3 separate regions of the Mus musculus genome follow, and regions 1 and 3 are each reported to be linked to region 2. The links are microRNA targets in miRTarBase. Many come from high-throughput screens and were not tested one by one. Region 2 holds a microRNA gene; each other region holds the end of a gene's coding sequence.

The links. Region 2 holds the annotated microRNA mmu-miR-451a (AAACCGUUACCAUUACUGAGUU, at 3,442-3,463, shown strand). A microRNA usually pairs through its seed, bases 2 to 8, with sites in the 3' UTR of a target mRNA and lowers its output. Matches are read on the target gene's strand: a 7mer-m8 pairs with bases 2 to 8, a 7mer-A1 pairs with bases 2 to 7 and ends in A, and an 8mer does both.
Region 1: miRTarBase lists Nsmaf as a target of mmu-miR-451a. The part of its 3' UTR that is shown has no 7-base or 8-base seed match.
Region 3: miRTarBase lists Megf9 as a target of mmu-miR-451a. The part of its 3' UTR that is shown has no 7-base or 8-base seed match.

What each region holds. Positions count from the first base shown.
Region 1 is chr4:6,390,433-6,397,550 of GRCm38, forward strand. It overlaps Nsmaf (neutral sphingomyelinase (N-SMase) activation associated factor), which reads right to left. Exons shown (of 31, transcript NM_010945.2): 31 at 5,775-6,385. The coding sequence ends at 6,291. Sdcbp (syndecan binding protein) reads left to right here. Exons shown (of 9, transcript NM_001098227.1): 7 at 2,514-2,685; 8 at 3,205-3,296; 9 at 4,078-5,690. The coding sequence ends at 4,132. Among named protein-coding and RNA genes, the nearest start is that of Sdcbp, 28 kb to the left of the region's middle.
Region 2 is chr11:78,069,745-78,076,862 of GRCm38, forward strand. Mir451a (microRNA 451a) reads left to right here and starts at 3,426; the gene lies at 3,426-3,497. Eral1 (Era (G-protein)-like 1 (E. coli)) reads right to left here. Exons shown (of 10, transcript NM_022313.2): 4 at 6,489-6,535; 5 at 6,246-6,307; 6 at 5,978-6,090; 7 at 5,647-5,895; 8 at 4,734-4,883; 9 at 4,536-4,616; 10 at 3,632-4,430. The coding sequence ends at 4,308. It overlaps Mir144 (microRNA 144), which reads left to right and starts at 3,261; the gene lies at 3,261-3,326. Mir451b (microRNA 451b) reads right to left here and starts at 3,497; the gene lies at 3,426-3,497.
Region 3 is chr4:70,426,777-70,433,894 of GRCm38, reverse strand. Megf9 (multiple EGF-like-domains 9) reads left to right here. Exons shown (of 6, transcript NM_172694.2): 6 at 364-1,968. The coding sequence ends at 815. Among named protein-coding and RNA genes, the nearest start is that of Cdk5rap2, 20 kb to the right of the region's middle.

The sequences.
Region 1 (7,118 bases), not on the chromosome of region 2:
ACAGTAACACCATGGCAGGGTTCTAGAAAGTCAGCGAGTGTTAAGTGGCGTGACAGCTGCTGAGGCAGACACTAGAGGCCTGTTCTCTTCAAATTAGAGCAAAGTTTTGCCTGTAATCCCAGCAACCTGGCTTGGGTCCCTGAGCTCCCACGGTAGAGAGAGCTTACTCCTGCAACTTACACTTTATGTATATGTACACGTAATAAATAAATGAAACAAATGAAAAGTCATTAAAAATTTCAAAATTGAGATGTGACAAACACAGTGAAGGTTTGGGTTTTTTTTTGTTTGTTTGTTTGTTTTTTGTTTTTTTGAGATTTTTGAGACAGGGTTTCTCTGAGTGTCCCTGGCTGTCCTGGAACTCACTCTGTAGACCAGGCTGGCCTCGAACTCAGAAATCCACCTGCCTCCAGTGAAGTTTTAAGATGTCAGTGTCCTAAGATCAGAAGTGCTGAAGGGACTCAGTGGTTTAGTGGAAAAGCTGTCTCACTGTTACTGTAAGGTAACTGGACTATAGAGGAAATGTGTATCAGTAGCTCCACAGAGCACTATGCTCTTCTCTCATTCATAACGGGAGGAGGTCTTGGGAGTGAGTCAGTCAAACCATGTGACGGATAAAGGCTACTGAGGGTTCCATATGTGTAGCAGAATCTTCCCCCAATTAATTTAATAGTATACAAGAAGAAGCCTGTGATTGGACAAGGAGAAGGGAGGCAGAGATAAGAGTTTCAGAGACAGGGACAGAAAGAGAAGAGAGAAGGAAGGAAAGGAAGAAGGAAGGAAGATGGAGGAAGAGAAAGCCAGTCCAGATTCGGCGTGGCTTTAAATAGCCACAGGTAGCTATGACTATCTGATAAGGGATGGATAATTACAGGACACTTTGTCTTATCTTGGTGGGCAATTTATATCAATATCAATTGGCTCTGTGTTCATTGTGTGGGCGTTTTGTGGGGTGAGGATTTACTGATATAAATCACAAGCCTCTAGAGTTGATTTTCCTGGGTTCCTGGGATTTGGGACCGCTGACCACAGGGGGTGGATGGCTGGGAATGGGAGTGGAATCTGTGTCAAGAGAACCATGAGATGGACCATCTCTGCTTGGGGCTAGCCATGGAGGCAGTGGGGTCACTGGGCCTGAGAGTAGCCAGTGATAGGCAGATTGGTGCCATTTTTTATTATTTCCTGCAACAAGTGGCAAACCAATGTGTTGGGGAAGAATCCACTAGAAATTTAAGATTATTAGCCTGAGAGCTAGAATTTTTTTCTTTTTTCTTTTCTTTTAGAATTTTTTATTGGATAATTTCTTCATTTACATTTCAAATACTATCCCAAAAGTCCCCTATACCCTCCCCCTGCCCTGTTCCCCAACCCACCCACTCCGCTTCCTGGCCCTATACAGGAAAACTTTATTTTCTAAGTGAGAGAAAGGTGGCGCTAGGATGAGTCACGTGGACTCAAGCACGGGAACCTTGAAGCAGAGAAAGGGGCTCTGAGGTCCCTTGCTGTGGAGAGAGACAAGATGGCTGCTCTGAGTCAGAGAGTTGGACAATGGAAGCTGCCTACATCTTGAGGCAGATATTGATTTAACTGTGAATTTATAATATTGGCATTATTTGCTTTTAGGATAGGATATATACAGATTTTGTCCAAATCATGTGGGGAATTTCACCCGCAGTTCAGAACTAGGATAGGGAAAATTAGTCACTGACTCCAAGTAGAGAGAGCAGTGATAATTACCTGCTATTAACAAGTATTAATTAATAATGTCTGTGGCTCCAGGTAGAGAGCCCAACAGATGGTATAAGAGGTCGGCTGCTTTAGGCAGAGCGCTTAACAAGTAACAACTACCTTCTTCCTATAGGCAGATATTAGTGAAAGTTTGAATTAATTGCTTTAAAGATGGTATAAAGATATATTGCTCTAGTAAGTCTTACAGGAGATTCAAATTCTGTCTAACGTAGGCTCCATGGGAATTTTGGGTTTATTTCCTGGCTTTAGGGACTAGCTGCCTGCTTATAAGCAGGTGTTGATAGAAGTGTGAATCAATTGTTTTAAAGATGGTATAATAAAGTCTGCAGGATAACTAACTCATATTCTCTAATGTGGGCTCCACGGGAATTTTGGGTTATTATCCTACATGGCAAAATAGAAAAAGCCTAAGAATAGGCACATACAGCATTTTAGTTTACTTCATTTGTTGTGGATTGTTTTAATTTCACATGGGTGTGAGTTGGAGCTCTGTGGTTATATTACTCCTCTGGGAGAGAGGTCAATATAAAGGGTTTCTGGTCACTGGCTCAAGGATATGCTGATTTGGGAGAAAGGTCTTGTCTTTGTGGTTTTAGAAAAGTGATTAGTGTCTGTACACCTTCTAGAGTAATATGGAACAGTATAGCTATAATAGTTAGAAACACCACTTTCTGTATCAAAATATCCCATGTGGCAGAGTTTGTAGGTATGTCATGTCTATTGAAACATGAAATTGAAGTTTCAGTCTAACCCTTATGCTTCAGGCCCTTTGAACGGACAGTTACTATGCATAAGGACAGCAGTGGACATGTTGGCTTTATCTTTAAAAGTGGAAAAATCACATCCATAGTAAAAGATAGTTCTGCTGCCAGAAACGGCCTCCTCACTGATCACCACATCTGTGAGATCAACGGACAGAACGTCATTGGCTTGAAGGTAAGGGACTCACATGACCCTGGTTTCGATATCTTTTTTTTTTTTTTTTTTGGGTAGAAAACATCATTTAGGTGGCAGGACTTTTGTGTTGACCCCCCCTGGAATCCCTTGAGCTAGAATTCTATAGAAATATGGGCAGGGAAATATTTAGACATTCTGAATGGATGCGTGTCCAGTTTTTTTCAGTCCAGAAATATAGAAAAGGAATAAGTTTGGCATATCGTAATACTTTGTTTTTAATAGACTTTGATTAAAATTTAGTCCATAAATTCTAGAATACAGTTAACTGTCTATGGGACAAGCCATTCCCAAGTAAGGACTTTTGGTCAGTACCTTCAACTTTGTTACTAGCTTAAGAAAATTTTATCTGTAAGATTAAAATTAAAATTTAGACATACCAGGGACTGGGATGTCAGAGATATCAGCAAGACAACATCAAAATATAGTGTGTTTCTTACCTAAGAGTTTTTGTGTATGAAATAAGGCCTAGTGAAATGTAACTCTATTATGTTTCGTCAGGATGCTCAGATTGCAGATATACTGTCAACAGCTGGGACTGTGGTTACCATCACAATCATGCCTACTTTTATCTTCGAACACATTATTAAACGGTAAGTGAATAGCTCTTCAACTTTATGATCTCCAGCACCTGATATAAATGTGAACAGTGCTTTGAGCTTGCAGGTCTTGTGCATATTAGAAATCTAGTCATGGTGGTTCCTGACGGATTGCTTGCCTGTGAGGTAGTAAGAGTGGCTGTTGCTATTCTTTCCCGTATCCTAGCCAGTAGAGCGGTACCCGGTGCTTGCTATCTATCTATTGGAACTGAGGAGTGTAGAGTCCAGGAGAGCTGATAAAGGCCGGCAAGGGTGATTCATTCCAGAGCCTTTCAGCTCCTATGCTCCTTCATCGCTGTTACCATGCTACCTTGGAAACTTCTTCCAAAGTCCTGATATAGCACATGAAAGTGAGATTTGGAATAGACATAAACATAACCTTTGTAATGCAATTTTTGTCTATATTTTTGGGTTTTGGGTAGAATGCAGCTAGCTACCCTCGGAGTAGGGAAAGGGGTTGATTATTTTACAGTCTTTTGTTCTTTTAAATTACTGGTAGGTTCCTTATGCCCCTTTCTGACTCGTCACAGCCTTGCTGCTTCAATGAAAGAGCCAGTCGTAGTGTAAAGGATGCACACCTTCTCTAACAGCCATCCCTGATGTAAATAGCTATTCTTTCTGGACAGTTTCTGACAACTTGATTATCAGTTCCTTAGATCCGAGATCATTCATCGATGACAATAGGATAGGGCTAAGCTGGAATTGGGGTTGTCTTAAATTACCATGGCCTTCTTGAAACTAGATGTGAGTTACATGATGAGTTGCTCTCTTGTAGGATGGCTCCCAGCATTATGAAAAGCCTGATGGATCACACCATTCCTGAAGTTTAAACCCTTGTACAATGCATCACGGCTGAATGTTTCCAGTTTTCCTCTTCGGCAACTTGTCTATTTCGCACATGAAGCTTTCCCGGAGCCAGGGAGAATATGCTGCATGGAGACCTTTCTCTCTTCTCTCATAGCTGGGAACCCGCTCTATCTGATACTGGCTTCAGATTTTAAGATGGGTGTAGCCTTAGCCTGGTTTTACAGATGTGAGACTCCCAAAAGATTTACTGACTTTCCTAGACTGGGTTCTTTACTGGGAACCTGATGTTTTTATATAAGCCATTGTGATTAGGATGACTGGTATAGGCTTAGCTGTGTCTGAGACCTGGTCAGCTTTCTCCTAGAACAAAGCACAGTGCTAGTCATGTGCTTCAATTCTGTGGCATTCTTGGACTTTAGTACGTCAGCATAGTACATTTAGAATGATTGCCTTTGATAGTTATTTTTTTAAGTTTTCTCTGTGTGAGTGTGTAAAATTCCAATTAATCAACACTGTTTTCATTCCACAAAAGCATTACACAGTTGTGTGTAGGTTGCAAGAGACTGTAATGATTGTCACTAATCTTAACTACCTTCACTTAATATGCTTCAATTGTCGCCTTAACTACAGTAAGCATTTAGAATAAAAGCCAAAATAGAATTATTGCTGCCTTCTGAAACTTGAGATGTTAGCTCTCTATTAAGCTGTTCTGTGCTAGCCCTGAGCAGCTCACTGGTAAAGCAGAGCTGCCTACTTGTATCAAGATTTTCTAGTCACTGCATAAAGGAAACGCCTAAGAGTTGCCGTATTGCTTTCTGAGAAACAAATTGCTATATATTTCATGTAAAAGTTGTTATACTAAATAGAATAAATTTTGGAGTCTCTTTTTCACTCTAGTGGGTAATATCTAATTTGGCATTTGAGTCCTAACATTATGTAACTTTAGCTAGGTTGGGGTCGTTTTAGAATGTTTCCCTAGTCATCTTAATTTGTTCCATTTTCTGACTCTGTCCTATAAACAAAAATGGCAATGACACTTTATGATTTTTTCTTTCTTAGCTTGTGCCTATCCTATTATTTTATGTGATATTATTAAATGTATAAAAATGTGAAATTTCCGTCTGTCTGTGCCTGCATCAGTCCTTACTGTGAGGCTAACACTAGGTTCTTTAAGAAGCTTTAGCGGAGACTGCCTGGAAATACACTTGCTGGGCATCCCTCTTGGCCAGCCTGTGGTTACCTTCACCCTGCGCACTGACATCAGTGAAGGAACCTGGAAAGGCTGCTGCGTCTCCAGTGAATCCCGAGACCATCCACATGTATTAGTGACACTTAAAACTAACTCAAGGTTCTACTACTTTAGTCTGGTGCCTTTTCTCTATAACATGTTTATATCATGCTTCCTTTTCTCTATAACATGCTTCAGAAAATTTGTAATCTTGTAGTTGCTGGTCAGAGACTGAATGTAAGAAAATCATTGCAGTTTCTATATAGGCTACCTTGTTGGAAATTTATAATTCTCAGTTTGATTATCCACCTTGCTTTCTGGACTTGGTTCTGAATATAGGTCCAAAAGAAATGAAATTGTGTTTGTTTCATTAAGTATGGTTTTGTAGAAGGAATAATACTTGTGATTCTTAAGTTATTTAAATAAGATAAGAGTGCTTTCATTACAGAAAAATATTTTTAATGTAGAAAAGATGAACCTTTAGTAGCATAATGAAATATAAACCATTGCTATACACAGTAACAGACTTAATGTTATTAAGAATCTGGGCACGCAGCACTGCCGAAAGGAACCAGTCCATGACCGCACATCAAAGAACCGTGTTACCGTCAGAACCTGGGCAGCTTGAATACAGACTGTCCTCTTGGGGACTGAGCTGGCCAGTGCTGGCCAGTGTTCCTCAGTCCGACTGGGTTTATCCTGAACACCCAGTAGTCTTCAAACTGTTGTCATGGTTGATAGTTCTCTGTCCTTTCCCCTAACACTGCCATGTTATATCTGCTTAATGGATGACAACAAATGGCTCTGAATGAAGTCACCATGATTTAGGAAGTTGAAACCACACATTCTTCATGTGGTAAAACTTCTAAGTACTATCATTGCACATTCACCAGTTTAAAGTCTGGTTTAAAATACATTAAGTAGAATTGTACTTGATGGAGAGGAAAAGGCACTTAATACTGCAATTTCCAGAACATAATTTGTCTGTCTTCCCCTCCGGTGATAATACTGCTACACTGTTCGTTCATCCACATGCATGTCACAGCACCTGAAAGACATCTCTGTTAGCAGGTCAACCAAATGCAGATGTGCTGCCTGCCATAGGAGGTAATCAGCATACCCGCGCTCCTATTATACACTATGTAAAGGTTTGTTGTTGTTTTGTCAATTCAGGGTTTTATTTTTTTTCCTTTTTTTTAATTAGGTATTTTCTTCATTTACATTTCCAATGCTATCCCAAAAGTCCCCCATACCCTCCTCCCCACCCCCCTACCCACTCTCCCACTTCTTGGCCCTGGCGTTCGCCTGTACTGGGGCATATAAAGTTTTCAAGACCAATGGGCCTCTCTTTCCACTGATGGCCGACTAGGCCATCTTCTGCTACATACGCAGCTAGAGTCAAGAGCTCCGGGGTACTGGTTAGTTCATAATGTTCCACCTATAGGGTTGCAGACCCCTTTAGCTCCTCGGGTTCTTTCTCTAGCTCCTCCATTGGGGGCCCTATGTTCCATCCAATAGCTGACTGTGAGCATCCACTTCTGTGTTTGCCAAGCCCAAGAATAGCCTCACAAGAGAAAAACTTGCTTCTACAAAGAACTTACAAGGAGTGAACTATCTCACTATGAATCTAAAAACAAAATGATTGATGGAAACATACTCCTTGGCGAACGGTAAAAGACACATAGAGAAATGTATGGAAAGGGAATTGGGCAGCCTGTAGCCAGCCATGTGATTTTATGTCTTTTTCATTGAAAGGTTCACATAAAAATTGTAGCTGTTAA
Region 2 (7,118 bases):
CAGGTCCTGCTCTGGCCCCTGCAGGCCTGATAAGCACGTGCTAGGCTGCTACCCTGATAGTGGTCAGCGTATCGGGGATCCCAGGTTATCTTGCCCAGGCCCAGACTCTGTTCCTGCTCCACACCCTGATTGCAGAAGCCCCCACCCACAGTTAGAGGCCACGGCCACAGGCTCTCTGGCTGGTAGAGATATCTCTGCCCTCTACTCCCAGGAACACTCACTTCTCTCAAACTCACCCTGGGGTCTGGCCTGAGCAGCGCAGTGGGCAGCCCTGGTGTGGGAAGGAGCTTGGCTGTCTGTGGCTCCTAGAGTAGAGGTGGCTTTGGAGGGTTACAAGAAATGAAAGGGAGGCAAGAGATGACATGGCCAGAGCACTGATGGTGACATTTTCTCACCTCTGTGACCCACAGCTTGCTGGGCCATGCAGTACTCCTGAAGCTCAGAGAAGAGCAACTTGCCACCAGCCACACAGCTAATGAGGCAAAGAGAAGGAGAGACAAGAGGCACATTTGCAGTGTGCTGGCCCTCACCATCACCCCAGAAGGAGGACACCAAGAGCTCCATCTTACATTTGAGGAAACAGAGGCTAAGTTTGGTTCTAAGTCACAGAGCTGGATGTAGTGAGCTGTGACTGCCACTCGGGGCCTGTCACTGCTAATGCAGGGCATTCTCAGGGTTTCCAAAGTGTTTTCAAGAATATTCCATGGGAGCATGGAATGAAGGCAGATGCCTACCTATAATTTGGCATGTGAAAGCAGGATCAAGTTATACAGGAAATTCCTGGCCAAACTCAGACACATACGAAAGCAAGCAAGCAAGCAAGAGGGAGGGATGGGAAAAGGGAGGGAAGGAGGGGAGACAGAGAAAGACAGAATTTCAGATGCCTAACAGAAGCCTGCCTTCCCTGTGGTCCTCTGTGGGTAGCAGAGCAGACTTGGGCCTTCGCTTATTTGAACTCCAGTGGCTAGCATCTGTGCCTTGTAAAAGCACTTTATGCAAGTCAGCCTGCTGGCAAAGGCCTGTAATGCCAGTTACTTGGGAGGCTTGAGGCAGGAGGATTAAAAAAAAATCAAGGGCTGCCTAAACTATACAGTTAGCTTCAATGTCAGCCTGAGCAACCCAAAACAGAAAGTGAAAAGAGGGGCAGAGGGCGGAGGTGCAGTGGAGTTGTTCCAATGCTTGCTCACAGCCGTAAGGCTCTGGGTCCATTCTCAGCACTGAAGAAACCTGGCATAGTGGTGAAGGCCTGCAGCCCTTGCACTCAGTAATCAGACACAGGAAGCTCAGAAGTTCAGTGCCATCCTCAGTTACAAATGGAATTTGAGCAGGTGGTGATAGCACAGGCCTTTACCCCCAGCAATCAGAGGCAGAGGCAGGCAGATCTCTGTGAGTTCAAGGCCAGCCTGGTTTATAGTTTCAGGACACAAGTCTACAGAGAAAGCCCATCTTCACAAACAAAGGAAAATAGAATGTGAGGCCACATGAGATTCTGTTTCAGTAATAAAAGGAGACCATGGCAAGATATTGCACACCTCTAACCCAAGCACTCAGGAGGCAGAGGCTGCCAGATCTCTAAGTTCCAGGCCAGCCTGGGCTACATACAAAGTTCCAGGCCATCCAGGGATACACAGTGAGATCCTTTCTCAGGACAAAACAAAGAAACAATAATAAAAGCACTGTCACTCATACCTACATAAGATGTGTCTTTAAAGAAAATTAAAGGCCGGGCGTGGTGGCGCACGCCTTTAATCCTAGCACTCGGGAGGCAGAGGCAGGCGGATTTCTGAGTTCGAGGCCAGCCTGGTCTACAAAGTGAGTTCCAGGACAGCCAGGGCTATACAGAGAAACCCTGTCTGGAAAAACCAAACCAAAAAAAATAAATAAATAAATTAAAGAGTGAATAGATAGAGAAGCGTCCCTGTGGCAGGGACACTTAGGGACCTGACAGTGCTAACTAGGTGAGGGGAGATCAGGCATGGCAGAGGTGGAGCAATGCTGGAAATAGACACCTCCACAGAACCGAAGGTTAGGTCTCTCCTCCCACTCCCATTCACCACCCCTCACCCCCCACCCTCAAAGGAAGAAACAGACCAGACTGTCTAGGATAAGAAAGGGGGCGGAACATCCCCCAGAATGAGGGTCTAAATAGCAGAGGCTCAGCTGTGGGGAGTGTCTCAGCACAAGTTTCTGCTTCTCCACAGGGAGAGACCCAAACATATCAGGCTCTCATTGTGTCTTGAGCTCTGATGAAATGCCCCGGCCCTTACACTGGCTCCCACAAGGCCTGGGGGCTGAGGTGCTCCTCAGCTTCCCAGCAGAGGCCCACTTGTCCACGGACCTTGCCAGAGGTGGCTTGCAAGCTTCAGCTCTGCCCACCCAGCTCAAACAGAGTCAAAGCCTAGGGATGGAGTCAGGCTGAGGGTACATGGAGCCTGCTCCCAGATAGATTCCATCTAGGTCCAGTTGCCAGGACCTCCCTGTCCTATTCAGATTCAACTAACATTCCCATCATCACCCACAACAAACTGGGACCTTTCAGCGAGGCCCGAACAACTAAGCCCTGAAGGACGTGGTGAGGGTCTTTCTCTTTCCTAGCCCAGTGGGGTAGGCAGGTAACCTTCTTTGTGGGGTTGGGGGTGAATGGTCACCCACTTAGAAGACGGGAGGCAGGGTGGCGGTGTAGTGTCAGTGTTGGGGTTCTTGGCTAGCATCTTCAGCCTTCAGTTTCATTCCCAGCACAGGAAACTAAGCAGAAGATAAACAAAAAGGGAGCCAAGCCTCAGCTTGTCTCAGGAAGCCAGCAGGCAAAGAGTTAAGAAGCAGGGACTTCTAGAACCCGGGAAAACGTGCCCCACCCAGGGGAGGGGCCAGAGGGTTAAAAGCCAAGCTGCTTGAGTGAGAAGAGACAAGGCAGGCTCTCCCTGTGCAGAGGATTCCCTGGACGAGGCTCCAGCTCCACTCCAGCTCCAGGTAAGCAGTCCTTGGAGTGGCTGTCAGCCTGCTTATAGGTCTGCCCAGAGGGAAGCTCCTGCCTCACAACTTCGTTTCTGCCTGTAACTCTGGATCCCTAAGAGACCCGAGTAGACCTTAGCTTCCTTCTCTAAGCCACCTGGGGTTATCCTGGACCACAGGATCAGGGAGATGCTGCTCTGGGAGGGAAGTGGAGGAGCAGAGGTAGGGACTTAGGTGTCCCTGACTGACCCTGAGCCAATCCCCTGGCTCACTCCAGGCCTGCTGCTCACCTCCTCCTCCAGGACCTTGGCTGGGATATCATCATATACTGTAAGTTTGTGATGAGACACTACAGTATAGATGATGTACTAGTCTGGGTACCCCACCTCCAGAGCCTGCCTGGTTTGCAGCAGAGATGCAGAAGTACACGGGCTCACTGCTCGGCCTAATCAAGCCTGCTGACAGCTGTGGCACTTGGGAATGGCGAGGAAACCGTTACCATTACTGAGTTTAGTAATGGTAACGGTTCTCTTGCTGCTCCCACAAACTGTGCCAAGAAGAGCTCATGACCCTGGAGCAGACTGCTGGAAGAAAAGGACACCCAGGCTGACAAGAGAATGGGGTTGGGGGAAAGGGTACATTTTCCTCTTCACTGTGCCAAAGAAATAAAAGATAAGAATAAGAGCACTTGTCATTTAACTTTATTAGCATCCGAGGCTGGGTGGTTGGATGGGATGGGAGGACCTTTGTGAGTTTAAAGCTAGCCTGATCTATGTAGAGATAGCCAGCCAGTCAGAGTTGTAGGGTAAGAACCCGGTCTCAAAAAAAAAAATAATAATAATAATAAAAGAAAAAGGAAACACGGGTCCTTATGCAACTTCAAGGTGAGGAACTTGGGGGAGAAGAGAAAAATTGTGTTCCTACCAACAACTGGAAACTCAGGGCAAGAGTTTGGTTCCAATGCTAGCGGGGTGGACATGACTTAGAACCATGGGTTCTAGGGTGTGGTTCAGCATGTATCCTATACAACTGACTGAGACCCTAGGCAGAGGAACGCCCCGAGAACTGAGCTAAGTGGAAACATGGTTGGGCAAGCACTGTGCAGACTCGGCAATGCCAGGCTGGCTGGCACAGGACCTTCACAGGACCAAGGGCCTCTCCTCCCATTGATGACCGACCGACTAGGCCATCCTCTGCTACATATGCAGCTGTAGCTATGGGTCCCTCACAATGGAAACCAGTCAGTGTCCATGGCCCTTCCCAGTCCTGTAGACCCCTCTGACAGGGGTAGTTCTAGTCAGTGACTCTGCCAGCAGCTTGAGCAGGGATCCACTGGGAGAAGCAACAGAGGATGGTCATTTGAGGAGTTTCACAGAGAGGCGGATGAGAACGTCACAGTGGAAGATGTCCATGAGGTCCCGGCCCACCTCCTGTGCAATCTGGGAGATCAAGAGGCCCTTCTGACCAATCAGGATCCTCTGCAAGTAGTGAAAAGAGAGGCACATGGTTCTGCTCTTGGCCTCACAGATGGGGAAGAGGCCATGGGTAACACTGCTACCCTTCTCTGAGCATCCCTCACTTACCACATGAGATTCTTTGGGCACCAGAAGGTTCTGTTGGATCACTAGCTCTCCACTTGGTCCTTCCTCCCATATCACTGTCTTCTGTATAAGGAGACATCAGGACTAATCAGGCAGGCTCATCTCTGTATCTCTTGGTACCCAACTGTTCCAGGGGTGTGCCTGGTATACAGGCACTGTGTCCTTTTCCTCTGCCCACACCTGCTGCACACCGTAGGGCACCTCCTCAGGCAGGTACTCTAAGAGCTTCTCTCTGATTTTATTGGCACAGATCTCTTCGGGTGTCTGGCTAGTGAGCACACCACTGTGGAACTCCCAGGGTCCTGGCTGGGCCTGTGTCAGAAGGTATTGCTGTGGGAACAAAGGAAGAGTAGGTTCTTAACCCCCATCAGAACATTTGTTTATGCATGCTTCTAGGAGGAAAAGGCTATGACCCATCCTCATGTAGCCCAAGCTGACCTTAAAATTACTACATAGTAGCTGACTACAGGGGCGAGCTGCCACAACTGACTGAAACACCTTTAAGAGAGCATCTCAGGCAGATCAAGCTGGCCTTGTCCATCCTCGTTTGTCCAGGCTGGGAATGAGCCTCCAATCTTCCTGTCTCTATCTCCTAAATGCTATAGTAGCAGGTGTGCACCCACGTGTGTGTCCAGCTTATGTGGGGCTAGATACTGAATCCAGCACACGAGACAAGCATTCTACCAACTGAGATACATTCCTAACTTTGTTTCTGGTCTCTATGTTGCTTGGCTGGCCTAGAACTCACAATGGAAACCAGGTTGACCTCAAACTGAGTAATCCTTCTACCTCTGCCTCCTGAGTGCTGGGATAACAGCTGTGTGCCACCACCCCTGGCTGTTTTCTGTTTCCTGAGACAGGGTCTCATTGTAACTGAAGCTATTCTTGAATTCACTATGTGGTTAAAAATGACCTTGAAATCCTGATTCTCTTGCCTTGGCCTTTCAAATTCGGGGATTACAAACATAAATGACCAGAGCCAGAGTTTTGTTTTGTCTTTTAAAAGACAGGATCTCGGTGGATATCAGGCTGGTCTGGATGAGGCCTATCGTAACATGGTAGAAGTGGTGGATTATGGGCAAGGCTAACTGACCTTCAATGTGTTCACATCCTTGTTGTTTAGTGCTGATAACATGAAGATCTCCTGGAAGTAGGGCCAGCCAATTCTCTGAGGGTTCCTCACTGAGTGTGCATTTGGGCCCTCAGTTTCAGGGCCAGGGCAGTGGGTGCTGGAGCGTGAGCGCAAGGCCTGCTTGATATTAAGCTTCTTGCCATTGACAACACCTTCAGTGAGGGCTGCTGTCAGCTCCAGGAGAACTGACTTCTGCTTCAGGCAATCTACCTGGACATGCGGGATGAACAAAGTGCATGGTGAGAGCCATGGGACTCTGGAAGGAAAACTCTCTCACGTGGGCAGTCCTTACCTTGTTTAAGACGAGGATGCTAGGGACCTGAGAGAACTTGGTCAAGCACTGCAGCACCTGGGGGTTGAGCCGACTCCTGGTCCACTTGTCTGACACATCCACAAGAACTACAACTAGAAGGTGGCAGACAGACAAAAGGATATCTGTAACCTTCCTCCTGACCCACGACAAGTTCCTGGCTACGGGCCCCAGCCAGACCTCGGCTCCCAAACTCCCAGGAATGAAAGGCCCCATTAATAGGGCTTCAGATCTTTAGTTTGAGTCTAACCAAGATCAGCAGATTCCATGCTCGTCCATGGATCTTCCAGCAAAGAGCGCTCCAGATGGTGCCTAAAGAACAAATGTATCAGTCAGGAAGGCTTATGACTGGTCAGTTCTTATGAGGAATGGTAGATAAAAGGGAAAACTTCCAGCTCCTATGAACAAATATCCCCTCCCCCTTTTCTCCTCTTTTTAAAAAAATCACCCCTCCCCCAACAAACACACAAGCATGTGTCCCCATAGCTAATACCTCTTCTGTTTAACAGGACTGATGATGCCAGGTGTGTCAAGCAGAATCTAGAATCAGAAAGATACCCACACCGCCCCCCCAAAAAAGAAAAGATTTTTAATGGACTAGTGGAGAAAAGGGCCACACACACTTTAAGTCTTAGGATTCAGTCCAGGGCTTTACTCATATTAGGTAAGTATTCAAGGATTCTAACAAGAATTTGCAGAGTCAGGCTGGTGAGATAGCTCAGTGGATAAGAGCACTGACTGCTCTTCAGAAGGTCATGAGTTCAAATCCCAGCAACCACATGGTGGCTCACAACCATCCGTAACAAGATCTGACACCCTTTTCTAGTGTGTCTGAAGACAGCTACAGTGTACTTACATATAATAAATAAATAAATCTTTAAAAAAAAAAAAAGAAAAAAGAAAGCCGGGCGTGGTGGTGCACGCCTTTAATCCCAGCACTCCACTTGGGAGGCAGAGGCAGGCAGATCTCTGAGTTCGAGGCTGGCCTGGTCTACAAAGTGAGTTTGAGTCACAAGAGGCTTTTTATTTTTTAACTTTTTTACTTTGCCAAGGCCTCACTTGTAGTCCTGGCTGTCCTGGAATTCTCTATATGTAACAGGCTGGACTTGAACTCATAAGAGAT
Region 3 (7,118 bases), not on the chromosome of region 2:
AAATTTTCATTTTAAACCATATGATTTAGAGCTTAATGGTGACATATTTACAGCCTTTGCAGAAATGTCCATGATAGATAAGAAGGGTGGAAAACGTCCATGTTAGAATTTTTCTAAAGGTTTGGTGTAGGTGTTATACACATTAAAGAACAGACCTGGATGTAAGATGTAATAAATGAGCTTTCCAGACTCCATTTCTTATCATTGTATTTATTTAAAAATTATTTTTAACTTGCATTCCTCTAAGCAGAGTACCATGTCAACATTCCATATCAACTTTCACTTTCATGTGTATTTCTTTTATTGTTTCTCAAAACTAGATAATTTTGTCTTTTACATTTCATTCTCTGTTTTTATTTTCAGAAGTTATTGTTCCAACTCCTGAAGGTTCTACCATTTTGGTTTCCAATGCCTCTTTGACCACATCAGTGCCCACCCCTGTTATAAATAGTACTTTTGCCCCCACAACCCTGCAGACTATCTTTGCAGTAAGCTCTTCTGAAAACAGCACCTCAGCTCTTGCTGATGTATCATGGACCCAGTTTAACATCATCATTTTGACAGTCATCATCATTGTGGTAGTGCTGCTAATGGGATTTGTAGGAGCTGTGTACATGTACCGAGAGTACCAAAATCGGAAACTCAATGCTCCCTTTTGGACCATCGAGCTGAAAGAAGACAATATCAGTTTCAGCAGCTACCATGACAGCATCCCCAATGCAGATGTGTCGGGATTGTTAGAGGACGATGCCAATGAAGTGGCTCCCAATGGGCAGCTGACCCTGACAACACCTATTCATAACTACAAAGCCTGAGAAGCTGAGTTGTCCTCCTGGATTGTCAGAAAACAGTGCTCACTTAAACAGCACCTGACCTCTGGCTGCACAGAGCCTAGGTAGAGTTTGTTGAGAAAGGTATTGTGCAAATGTTCAGGTACAAACTGTAGTGCGCTTAGCCTGTCTGTTGCTCTTAATTCCCCCATGAAGATCTGAAGCACTCATCATCGAGGACTTGAAGTAAAGTATATTTTTGTAGCAAACCACATGTATATATGGAAAGGCTGAATCCCACAGAGCAGCCTAAGTCTACCTGGCCTCTCAAAGGACTGCTCGGAAAGTGTTCACCTCACCAGATGTGATAGAATGTTGATGTGGAGGGGAAAGACTGATGGAAGAATTCATCTCCACTTTGGAAACATATTTTATAAAAGAGAGGCAGGGATTGTGTTCATTTTACTGTACTAAGAGATGTAACTTAGGAAGAGATGATATCTAGGCTAATAAAAAAAATCTTGGTTGTGTGTAGACTAAGAAAGGTGCCAAGAAGTTCTGTAGAAGGGCTTGGCTTTCCTTCTAAGAGTCTCCTTCAAAAATGGAGTTAAAGCACAGGATAAGCTTCCATGGTGAGGGTAGGCACAGCAGGCAGAGAGCAGAAAGCTGATGGTCTCCTCAAAGAGGTTCCTGCCTCTAAAGAAACAAGGTGTACATAATTAATGTAGCATTATCTGGTCAACATTGTACTTGTATCTATTTGTAAAAAATCATGTCCTATTTTATCATCTAGACTTTATCTGTATAGCAGTTAATGGTGTTGTAAAAAGAAGATATGGGAACTTGGTTAAAATACTGTAAAATAGGTGACAATATTGCTAGAGCTGGGACTCTGGTGAGCATCAGTCATTTTAGTCCCTATTTGGACACTGTTGAAATTGATAAGAGGTCAAATGTTTCTAATCTTTCCTCTCTCAACCTAGAGTCATATGCTCTTTGACTTACCATAGATTCAAGCAATAGATTTTGAAGTCTGCAATTGCGAAACTGGAACACAGGCTGCATTCTCCAGACACACCTAATTAGCCACTCTGTTTTACACTGCTCAGTGTAAACTCCTCAGGAAAAGACTTCTTTCCTGAATGTAAAAGACAGTCTTCCAAAGGACAGAAAATTTAAATTAAAAAGAAAAGCCATCACATCACTTCGGGGTTCTTGTTTTTATGCCCATAAAATATTTATGTGCCTCCCATATCTGCCAAAATAAAGGCCTCTGACATTTGAGCATAACCTGTCACCCATGCACCATGAGGACTGTTTGGCTTCTTCAGTGCTGGAGTTCATCCATCTTCATATCTGGGCAGAGGGTCACTATGGGTGTGTATTTAGTCCTTGCTTTTTGATGCCATTTTCCCTGAGGCCAAGTACTGCTGCTTTCATTTGTTATGCATCCATAGGTTGTAGATTGAGAGCCAAGAAAAGTGACTCAGACTATGAAGTAGGGGAAAACAAAACAGAGTAGACCTAGGAAGCTCAGACTCCTTTTCTTACTTCCTCAGAAAAATAAAGACGTTGGTCATCCTTTGTAGGAGACCTCACCTTTTTCTCAGGGTTTAGAAATGACTGTATACTAGAGGATCCATAGGTAACCTGGGTGTGCTCTGCATTTTTGGCTGTCTTTATAAAGGTAGACATTACATCTCATTGTACTAAAACAATTTACAAGTGACTGATTGCCTAGCATATGAGTCTATGAGTTTAATCCTTAGAATTACAAAATATATTAATAATATTTTGCCCTTTGTCATTTAAAAAACACCTTTCCATGTGTTCTTTGATCCTCACCCTAGCCTCCTTAGGAAGTAGTCTTGTGCTCATTTCATAGATGAAGTAACTGAGGCACAGAGAGTCTAAGTTGTTCAGCGCTATACCATGCACATCATCATTATTATTCCTGGAATCAGTTCTCACCTCTACTTCATTGTCATTTTGCTATGTGATACATATAAATCTACTAGCCATGGGCCCTAGAAGACTGGAATGGAAATTCCCATTTGTGGATGCTTCTAATAGAGCCCTTGTATGCTCTCTAGAATACTACCCCCCCCCCCACCCCGCCATACCATGTGTATATATTGGGGTAGGGGAAGTATGTAACTCACAGGCACAATTCAGGGCCACATAGATACTAAGGACTTTGTTGAAAGAACACACATGGATTTCTACCTAAAGACAAGATTAATGACGAGAAGGTAAAGCTGCCAGTTCATTAAAATGAATGAATTCCTGAATTGGGGAGGGGAGCAGAGAGACTTTTCCTAGCAGTTGCAGCACAGGTGTGTATTGACTATACATCACAGAGTTCCAAAGTGCTGAGCACAATGGCTGCCTCCCAGATACCCCATCTCCTGCCAAAATAAGTGGAAAGGAGATAAAAGCCAAACGTTTGTTAAACAGTTCACACAATAAATAAATGTTTATATGAGTTTAAGAGCCAAAGTAAACAGTCGAGATTCCAGCTAAATAGAGATTCCATGATACAGATCTTAAGAGATAACACAGAAACTAAACCACAAATTTATCAAGTACCTGTTAATTGCTCCTAAATCATGTTTTTCACAATGAAAAAAGCTATAGCCTTAAAATGTGTTGTAAATAACATCATTTAGTGACCCCGTTGCTCTGCTTATACAAATTATTTTGTTGTAAAGATCAACCATGAGGTGATCTCTCCTTGAAAGTAGAGTAGGAAACCAGAATAAAACATGCTGCTGGGTTTTCATTCCTCTGGAGACATTATCACCCAATGCCACGAGTCCTCTGCAAAGCCCGATGCTGGAACAATTTTTGTCTAAGCATAAAGAAAATGTTGTTTTTAAAATATACTACATACATGACCTTAATGAGAAATGGATGTCAGTGCTAGGAAGGAACTAATGCTTGCGCCTTCAATAGCTCCCCTGATTAAGTCCTGTGCATTTCTGAAGGTGGATGTTGTACTTGTCAACCATGCCTTTGTTCCCTTACCACCACCATCCCCTACATTGCCTCCAAGGACTCTCCTATTTACAGTCTCTCCAGAGAAAGCAAAATGATAATTAAAATCTCTTATTTATATGAACATGGTGTGGACCCAGTACATTATTTTTCCCAGGGATACTTAGATTTTAAGGGAGAGCAACAGGACAGACATGGGCTGGGAGGGTAGGTTTTTATTGTTGTTTTGATTTGGTTTTTAGTTGTTATTGTTTCATTTTTTTCTTTTAACAAGACTATCTAAATCCCAAATTATATTACTTTTCCCTAGTCCCAATATTTCCAGAATCATTAGTCATCAAAGCAATACTCACTGGTCTACCAGTTAATTTGAGTTATCTGATCATCAAGATGTTGTGGTTTAGAATAAGAGTCAGTTAGAGCTTTATTATTCACCATTCACCCTGGTCCTCTGCTTTTTTTATGTTTATAAACATAAAAGTAATTCTGATGATTCTCTCTGACTTGGTGTAGTTTGAAGTGGTGTGTGGGTAGGAGGTGGGTTTCTGCATCTTTCAAGGAAAGCTCTCTGACAAAATATTCATATTCAGAATAAGTTAAAAGAATTCAGTGAAATCATTAGGACAACAGAAGTTGTGACCTAATCCATACACAAATAAATAAATGAATAAATAAATAAATACCTTTAGTCTGTTGGTACTTTTGACAGCAAATGGTTTAGGACTTAAGAGGTTTGGTGTCTGTCTGTGTTGTAGAGCTGGGGAAGGTGACAGACGGTTAATTTGTCTTTTGCTATCACTCTGAGCAAATGGCTAAGCAGCAGGAACATGGTGATTAACCTGAAGAAGTCAAATAATATTGAATGGCTAAAGATTGTGGATCATTAAAACATTAGTGGTTTGAATGATACTTTTTCAAAGACATTGAGAATCTTCCTTGTTACTTATGCATACACGGAAAGTTCAGCAGCCTTGGAGTGAGCCCAGAGCTTCAGATTCAAGCTTGCCCAAAGCTAAATGACTTCTAGTCCACTTTTAATGCTAGGCACAAGCATTCTTTACTCTTAAATGTCAGTCCAATCAATTAGGGTATGTTTCTAAAAATTAAACTTGTATTTATGTCACTAAAATCCTAACCCAAAATTTAAAAACATGTCTCATATGTGTGCTGTACTAGGCTTCATGATGCATTTCTAAATTTGTGTATGATTTGAATATATGAAAGAATTTATACAAGAGTGTTATTTAAAATTATTAATAAATGTATATAATTTGTACCAATTGTAGATTCGTTTCACTTTTTTATGTAGTGAGAGATTTAAGAAGTCTACAGGTAAGTGCTAAAGACCACTTGTCAGTTCATTCCATAGAAGTCTTTACATCCTTTCTGTACTGACCAATATTTTGTTTAAGTTCATCAAAGGAGTGTCTACTACTTGGGGAGAAAATACCATATGGAACAATGCATTCTCATACAGCAAAATTCACACCAGAGATGAAAATATATATGAACATTTATTACTGGGCCGGGGATATGGCTTAGGTGTAGGTCACTTGCATACCAAGCCCAAGTCCCCAAGTTCCATCCTCAGCACTTATAATAAACAATAGCATATATTTTTGTTCACAACATTTTTTGTCTTCTGTGCCACTTCCTGAGATTTCTATCAAACTTATGTGCTGTTCACTGAGATTTCTATCAAAATATGTTGAGACTGATTCCCTTTGGATTTCTGACTTATACATGTGAATATTTTCTTTTTTTAAATGATTTTTGTTAGATATTTTCTTTATTTGCATTTCAAATGTTATCCCCTTTCTTAGTTTCCCCTCCAAAAATTCCCTATCCTCTCCCCCTGCTCACCAGCCCACCCACTCCTGCTTCCTTGCCCTGGCATTCCCCCATACTGGGGCATAGAACCGTCACAGGACCAAGGGTCTCTCCTCCCACTGTTGAGTGACTAGGCCATCCTCTGCTACATATGCAGCTAGAGCCATGCGTCTCACCATGTGTTTTCTTTGATTGGTGGTTTAGTTAGTCCCAGGGAGCTCTGAGAGTACTGGTCAGTTCATATTATTGTTCCTCCTATGAGTCTGCAAATCCCTTCAGCTCCTTGGGTACTTTCTCTAGCTCCTTCATTGGGGACCCTGTGCTCCATCCAATGGTTGGCTGTGACCATCCACTTCTGTACTTGTCAGGCACTGGCAGAGCCTCTCAGGAGTCAGCAGTATCAGGCTCCTGTCAGCAAGCTCTTGTTGGCATCCATTCATCTGGAATAACAAAAAACCTAGGATAGCAAAAGCTATTCTCAACAATAAAAGAACCTCTGATGAAGATTTTCTGAACTCTGGAAATGAAGTACATTCTATGTTTTTTAGGTTACCCATAAAAGAGTGCATCTTTCTATTATTTTAAGGTTCCATTGAAGAAGTTTGGTTGTGTTTTTGTTTTTTTCCTGTTAAACTGTGTTTAATGAGATGCCATCTGGTTATCCCATTAAACATCCAAGGGTGTTTTGAAAACATGCAGCAAGAAGTCTCTTTGCACTGAGAACTTTAAAACCTTAAGTCAATTTATTCTACCTCAGCTGCTCATGATAGCGCACCCCTGTGATCTCAGCACATGGAAGGTGAAAGCAGGAGAATCAGGAGGTTAAGATCAGCCCTGACTACATAGTCACCTCTAGGCTAGCCCGGGCTACGAGAGTCTCTATCTTAAAAAGAAAATTACATTTCAGTTGAAAAATTTTAAATATGCTTTATAAACAAACCTTCAGTAGTTAGCATCATATGTCTGTATGATATATATTTGGTATGTTAAGGGAACAAAATAATTATGCCAGTTTTCAAGAGAAAAAATATGCAAACAACACACTAGGAGAAATACCACTAAAAGTATAAAGTATTTTTATATTTCTGATGAAAGTCTATAAAGACATCTCCATTGCATTATCACAACTGATTGTATTAATTTTCTTCAGGGGAGTAGAACATGTTCCAAAAGTTCAAATGCTCTATTGTAATTTAAATGTGACAACAATTGTAAATAAAACCATTATAATCAGTTTTGTCTTGCTGATTTTTCTTATGGTGTAGGACTTCAGAAGACTCTGATCCTCATACATGCTAGACAAGGTCTCTAGAACTTCTTCTCTACCGCTTGCTTATTTAGAGCTTCAAAATTAAACTAGGAATGGTGATGTGATTCAATCAGCTGATAGAGGTACTTATTGCACAATCCTGGAGACTGGCGTTCAGTCGCCAGAACCCAAGTAAAGGTGGAGTCAGAGAACTGACTCCACTGAGTTGTCCTCTTGACTCCAACCCATACACAAAATAATATTTTTTTATT